2 linked regions of the Oryzias latipes genome follow. The main gene of each other region encodes a partner of the protein of the gene in region 2 in a complex. Links are inferred from orthologs where the notes say so. Each region holds a gene or a part of one and is shown on either strand. Other genes may lie near its edges.

Evidence for each region. The genes of interacting proteins can lie anywhere in the genome.
Region 1: the proteins of slc39a7 (region 2) and mettl9 are in contact, whole or in part, in a crystal structure (PDB 8GZE), measured with the Homo sapiens proteins. The link is inferred for Oryzias latipes from reciprocal best matches to the Homo sapiens genes SLC39A7 and METTL9. Residues at the interface, in NP_001070984.1 of Homo sapiens: Gly65, His66, Thr67, His68, Glu69; in NP_057109.3 of Homo sapiens: Arg114, Thr115, Asn118, Arg123, Gly124, Met126, Met179, Asn210, Asp213, Arg214, Val241, His245, Tyr247, Glu249, Trp255, Tyr295, Leu296, Cys297, Glu298, Asp300, Tyr306, Val307, Leu308.

Annotation. Positions count from the first base shown.
Region 1 is NC_019877.2:20,101,702-20,105,814, forward strand, and holds the start of mettl9 (methyltransferase-like protein 9), read left to right. Parts: upstream 1-1,214; 5' UTR 1,215-1,229; coding exon 1,230-1,409; intron 1,410-1,946; coding exon 1,947-2,137; intron 2,138-2,209; coding exon 2,210-2,419; intron 2,420-2,581; coding exon 2,582-2,766; intron 2,767-2,848; coding exon 2,849-3,084; 3' UTR 3,085-4,113. UniProt on the Homo sapiens protein: Protein-histidine N-methyltransferase that specifically catalyzes 1-methylhistidine (pros-methylhistidine) methylation of target proteins.
Region 2 is NC_019869.2:14,594,609-14,597,571, reverse strand, and holds the end of slc39a7 (zinc transporter SLC39A7), read right to left. Parts: intron 1,594-2,963; coding exon 1,397-1,593; intron 1,317-1,396; coding exon 1,062-1,316; 3' UTR 542-1,061; downstream 1-541. UniProt on the Homo sapiens protein: Transports Zn(2+) from the endoplasmic reticulum (ER)/Golgi apparatus to the cytosol, playing an essential role in the regulation of cytosolic zinc levels.

The DNA.
Region 1 (4,113 bases), on a different chromosome or scaffold from region 2:
TCTGAATTTGGACTCGGATGGACTATTATCTCAAAACCCAGAGTCAGTTGATCCACCAGCATGTGATTCCCCACAGAAATCATCTTCAGAGAGTATGGAAAACACAGCACCGTACTTCACACGCAGTGGTCGAGCAGTCATACGTCCTGCCAGATACAGAGACTAGTTAATGTGACAGTTTTGTGTTCATACTGTTGCTTTGATTTGTTTAATGGTTACGTAAAAGAAAAGAGTATGTTCGTTTTAAAACATTTTAAGAAATAAGTTAAATGTTTGTATGTCGAAGTTTCAGACTACTGCACTAAGATGCACATTGTTAAATGTAAGGTTGTTTACAATCTGAATTTGCCTAGCCATTATGTTAAGAGCATAAGACCGTCTAATGTTCAAATTATTTAGAGGGTGCTTTTGTGTTTAAACAACTGTTGAAGATGTTATGACTAACATGTCTTGGGAAAAGAGGGATGTGGTATATTGTGATAGACAGTAATAACCACCGCCACCAATAGATGGTGCTGTCGGCCTGTATATGCCATGAGGGGTTTCAGAGTAAAGTACATGTAAAAGCTCTTGCACCGAAAGCTGTGTCCCTGTCGTCGGTCCTAATTAAGAGACCCGCTGATAGCACCCACGCTAAGGTAACTCGGAGCAACATCATATAAAGTCACAACAATTATTATTATAATTATCATCATCATCATCAGTCTAATGGAAAACATTTTTTTCCAAGTATTGAAAATCATGATCGTATTTGTTATTTTTATTGTTTTTACATGTTTGAAATAAATAAATCACTACATACATTCGGTATAAGTTAGATACTCTGTATGATTAATGGCTTGAAATGTGGAACCCCCTTTTCAGCAGGAAAACAGAAAGTTGCCGGTGTTTGCCGACAGGGGGCAGTAAATCCCCAAAGATTCGGTGCTATGTCAACCCAAACACCCAGAAGAAGAATGCGGATATGGTTGTTTTTATTGTTAAAGGGGGGAGTGTTTCTCATCCCGGCTCAGTTTCTGCCGTTTCAGCTCAGCAAACAAAGCTCCGCTTGGACTAAGATGGTGCGTAAATAGCAGCTTGCCTCCGTAAAGTCCCCCCACGCCCACCTCAGGTTGGTTTACAGTCCTGGAATAGGAGACGTTTCTCCTCTCGGGGTTTTCTCGTCTTACCTGCTCTTGTCCCTCTGCTGTCGGCTGCCGCTCTCTCGGCTCTCAGACATTGTTTTCCGTATGTGTCATCTACAGCTGAAGACTCTGTTTTTTGTAGCCTGGCTGCTGGGCTACGTGGCGTTTCTGCTCTCCATCAGGAGAATGTGGACCGCTAAGCACGCGCGCAGCCCGCTCGTGCGCTCTCTAGTCCTGAATATGGTGAATGAGCACGAGGCCAGTGGTGCCAGGGAAACACACGAGGTACGACTGTCCTTATTTTTTTTCTGAAAATATAAAACTACAAAATCTAAATTTACAGTGTTTATTTTAAATCCAAGAATGTCCTTATTCGAATGTGTCACGAATTTGTCATTAGTTATTTATTCGTTGCTCGTTTAGCCTCTTTGCACTGACCTAAATGATTCAGAGGGATGCTGAAAAGAGAAACTTCTGTTTTGCAAAAGAAACTATGCTGAAAGAGACAATGTGACAGTAGTTTTAAAGATGACTGGGATTGAAACACAAGGGGGGAAATTGGTTTTGCACAGGAAAGACTATTTTTTAACATTTAAATAGGAAATAATTCTTAAATTCTACTTTCTGCTGTGTAGTTTAACACAGCCCCACCTCTGCTGAGCTGAGAAAATTCAATCCAAACAGACCTGAACTGTTTTCAGGGAGGGGCTGTGGGGTAGGTAAAGGGTGGTATTGTATGAGACTGGTGACAGGAGATGGAGTTCACCTCAGGACTTCTTAAAAAGTGTTGTGAAATCAAAACCTCTTGTTCTGTTTGTTCAGTGGTACCGATGCTGCCCAGATCTGCTGGGAGAATCCGTCCGGCCTCTCTTCATCCAAAGCCACTTGGACTCGGACACCACGGATTTTCTCAACAGGAGCGCAGAGAAGTCCGGCTGGCTGTTCACGCAGCTCTACCACTCGCTGGTGTCCACCGTCCTAAGCCCCGTTTTGTCGCGCACCTCCATTAACGGGTGAGCGCTAGTGGGTGTTTGAATTGCAGCTTGTGTTCCTCTTCCTGCTCCTGACCCTCCTCTGTGTCACAGGGTTTTGGGGAGAGGGTCTATGTTCGTGTTTTCGTCCGAGCAGTTCCAGCAGTTGCTCCGGATCGGCCCAGACTGGACGGCAGAGAGACTCCTGGACCTTGGAGCTGGTGATGGAGGGGTCACAGAGGTGATGGGAGTGCATTTCAGGCAGGTCTTTGCAACTGAGGTGTCTGTGCCAATGAAGTGGCATCTGCAGAGGAGGAACTACAAGTGAGTAGAAGCATATCCTAAAAGCTTTCACAGGTTCCTTCCCTTCAAGCCAATACAAGAATGCAACCACAGAATAACACTGTGTTCTTTTGGGTTGAAATTAATTGGCAATTAGAAGTTTTTCCTCTCTGTCTTTTTGTTGTCTTTTCCCGTGTGCCACAGGGTTCTGGGTATAGACGAGTGGCAGCATGTTGGATTTCAGTATGATCTTATCAGCTGTCTGAACTTGCTGGACCGCTGCGAGGATCCACTGCACCTCCTGCGGGAAATAAGAAAAGCCTTGGTTCCCAAAACCGGACGGCTCGTCTTGGCTGCTGTGCTTCCCTTTCAGCCCTACGTAGAAGTCGGTCAGTGAGGAATCCCATTTCTGTCTCTTCTGCTGACGTTTCATCTAGCTAGAAATCCAAGCATCGTTTCTCTGCTTGACAGGCGGGAAGTGGGAACGACCAAAAGAACACCTGAAAGTTAAAGGAAAGACGTGGGAGGAGCAGGTGACCGATCTGTCCAGCGAGGTTTTCCCGCGGGTGGGGTTTGAGGTGGAAGCGGTGACGCGTCTGCCGTACCTGTGCGAGGGAGACATGTACAATGACTACTATGTGCTGGATGATGCGGTTTTTGTTCTGAAGGCCTCCGGCGACTCGGAGCAGTCTGTTCATGAGCTCTGAACACAACACGGGGCCCAAAATTTCTTCTCAGTACCTGGATTTTAGTGCAATTCTTCTTCTTCTTCCTCATGCATTTATTCATCTCGGAAATTTAGAAGCAGGGAGTTGGGCGCAACACAGCAGTGATTTCCTTTTTCTTTTTTTTTTTAGTTTGTTATACTGTTATTTCAAACGAAAACCTAAGGGGGATCATCCTTTCTAAAAGTTTTTCTGTCTTCCAAGTCCATTATTTGTGATGTAAATGTTTAACTGTCAACGTTTTAACCAAAATTTCTGACAATATTTGCATAAACGGTTCAATTTATAGTACTACATATTTGATTTCACCATTGCACAAGATTTTTACAATTGCCTGTTCACCCTCTGAGACATAAAATCCCACAGAGGTTTTCCAGGTGAAATATCCCAGAGGTGAAGCACTTTATGAGCGTTTCACGTTGTTCCCCCCTCAAGGTTGGTAATGATGGCAAGATCCCAAGCATTAGTTGCACAATGCTGGACGCCGCTCCACTAAGATGCATTTGCTACACGACTGCAGGGAAAACATGCCGCTTGGCCTATAGGAGTGTCACACCTTTTGGCATCTTTCTGTTGGATTATCAGCGTAATTCTGTGCCACGTTTGGCACCACCAGATCCTAAACTTGATCATATTTTACGAACTGTTTCATTTCCAGATCACTCGTAATGGATCTATGCACCTGACCAAAACAGTTTTAACAACTTGAAATCTTTTCCATCCTTCGATTCAGTATTAAAGCCAAACCTCAAGCTAAACTTTATGGAATTCCATGCTTTTGTTTTGCTTTGTTGCACTGAATTTAATATCAAGTAGTGAATTTCTTTCTAAGTGACAACAGGAAACCGAAAAGTGCTGCATACGTTTGATATATTCACAATAAGAGTATCTGATTGTAGCTTTAGATCTATAAATTCGATCTGTTTTTACAGGATGTTTAGGTTGATGAGTTTTTATTTATCTTTGCTGTTTGGGGTTAAAGACAGGATTTTTAAAAGCCTTTGCTCTCAT
Region 2 (2,963 bases):
TTTCAATAATAGCATTTATTTAAAAAAATTAGACGATTCAAACAAAACGTTTTTCATTGGTGGTTTTTATGTAAAAAACTACAGATTAATTATGTTTAAACTGAACAAAAGTTATTAAAAAGCTCGTGTTTACCACCAGAATGCAATTAGTCTGATAGATTACAAGAAAGGGACATTGTAGGCGTGGCCACCAACAAACACTGGCTGCTGGGTAAAAATTAGTCACCTTTCAGAGTGACTTCACTGCCATGTGTGCGGTGCAGAACTGAATTAAATTCTGTAGTTCATATATTACATTTTATGAGCTCGGTTTAGTTGCCAAATCTTAAAGTGAAAGTCGTTTGGTTTTGGGATCATTTTGTGGAATTAAGAATTTAAAACAGATTAAGTATGTTTCACTGCTGGTGTGGAAACATACCAACTCCAACCCACAGTTGGTGTGTTTTTTTACATATGAGTTTTTATTTAATTCACTGGGGAACTGTATCGTCTTTTTTGGGAATTTCAGCCCCAGGTGCTGAAATGACCACAGGAACATTTCTGAAACGTATCACCTTTCATTTATTTGGGACGTTCGGCACAGCTGCAGGCGTTTTCATTATTGCAGGAAGTTTAAAATAAGTTCCCGTCTGAAGTCTTGAGTCATAACAGCTGATCCTTTTACAATCCAACAAAAAAAAAACATGAAGTCTTTCGGAATACATTCACAAAAGCGGCAATATCTTTTTGTGTGGAATGTAAATCATGAAGTGAAAATCAGAGGAGCATCCCAGTGTGACGCAGCAGAGAACATCTAGTGTTTTGGCCTGTTCTGATGTCAAACTGCAGCTCATGGAAGCTGTGGGATGAAGAAAAACACACACAAAAAACAACTTTCCTTATGTTGTGCATCCATAATGAAGAGATTCAAGTTTTAAAAAATACAAAAAAACAAATCAATGAAGTGTCTATGAACTGTTAAAACAACAAAAGAGATTTTTTCCCCACAACTTTAAAGAAAAAAGAAAGAAAAAAAAGAGAGAGGAATCTGTGAGGAAACCAAAACTGTCCACAGAGGCGCCTCACTCGTACTCTGCGATCAGAACCATCATCTCGACTCCAAACAGCAGAGCCAGGATCTCCATGAGCGACTGGCCAAAGCTGGAGCGTCCTGCCAGCAGCTCGGGGAGCACAGTCACTGTGGCAATGTAAATAAACCCCCCAGCTGTGAAGGGCAGGATCCAGGCGGTTGCCGTGGCGCCCACACCTTCAGCCATCAGGGAGCAAGCTGTCCCTGCCAGCGCCCCCAAAGCAGTCAGCAGCTGCAGACACATGGCCTGATGGGAAAGAGGAGCGACACAGTCACACTCACCGCATCAGTGCGACACAAGCAGCCTGGAAGCAGACGGTACGATACCTTCTTCTTGGTGCAGCCAGACTGCACGAGGATGGCAAAGTCTCCGATTTCGTGGGGGACCTCGTGCAGCAGAATTGTCACTGTGGTGATGGCGCCCACTGCTGGACTCACCAGGAATGACGCTCCGATTGCAAGGCCGTCAGTGAAGTTGTGCGTGAAGTCAGCTGCTAGGTTCAGGTAAGCTGACACTTTAATATCTGTAGCACACACACACACACACACACACACAAAAGACTTTTTAAAGACCCACTCCAGTCATCTTTTGATTTCTTTTAAAAGCATTCCCAGTGGTCTTTTATTTATGAGTATGTTTTAGCCAAAATCCAAAAACCTGTCACTTTCTAGGACCTGTTGCTGACAGCTTGGAGCAGGGAGCTTGTGGCCCACTCAGCACATTTTCAGCATCACAAATAAACTCTTTTCCAAACTGCATTTTATGTCTGCTCCTGATTCGAGACGATTTGAGCAAAACATAAAAAATAAACACATTTTGAACTAAATTTTCTTAATATATGTCCTCTATTTTCAGATAAACACCACAAAACACTTGTTTTTTTCAACAGAGTGGATCTTTAGCTGCATGTCTTAAGAAAGTATTCTTGAATTCATGAAATTGCTTAAAAAGTTTGTTTTGTGCAGCAAAATTAAAATTCTTTCACGATTAAAAAAGTTAAATTTTATTATAAAGTAAATTTTTCTTATAAACCAGTTAAAATTTAGAAAAAAGCTGCTTTACCCTTATAAGACCGGATTCTAAACTTAATTTGCCGTCACATTAGTCACAGTTAAACAATTACATATAAACCCACACAGAAATTCTTAGTTGCCGTCTTTCTGCCTATTTACAAATATCCTCCCATCTGTCAGTATTTTGTGCTCAGAGAATATGATGGATCCAACCTATGAACGATAAACCAATGAAAAAAGGTCACAGGTGACATTCAGAAGAAACCGAAATGATAGGGCTGCAGCTATCGATTCTTTTTGTAATCGATTAATCTAGCACTTAATCGATCGATTAATCGAGTAATCGGATAAAACGATTTGTGTGTGTTTTTGAACAACCAAAACAAATAATGCATCACAAAAATGATGTGGTTGTAAAATAAACAAGCATTTGATTTTAAAGATCTGCTCTGATGCAAATGTTACTTTTGGTGTTTTTAAGTTGGTCTTGAGAAGTGGCGGTGTGGGTACCGGATCGACTCGGGCCGCCGGATGTTCTCGGGGTCCTTCGGGGGTCCTTCGACCAATGATGACGTCACCCTACGGTAACACCAGTTGGACAAACTACTTAGCGAGCGATTTTACTACTTAGCGACGTCGTACCAATCTAAGAAATTTTTGAGGATTCGTTTTGAGTTTGAAGAGAATGACTGCAGTTTTTGTTTGAATGACATTGAGACGGTGGATCATTTATTCTTTAACTGTGGAATTATAAAAACATTCTGGGATGAGTTCTGCTTTTGGTATTCTTCCAAAATTGCAATGCCAGTTCATTTACACTCAAAAAATGTTCTATTGGGTGTGGTATTATATAATAGACCAGAAAATACAGTTCTTAATA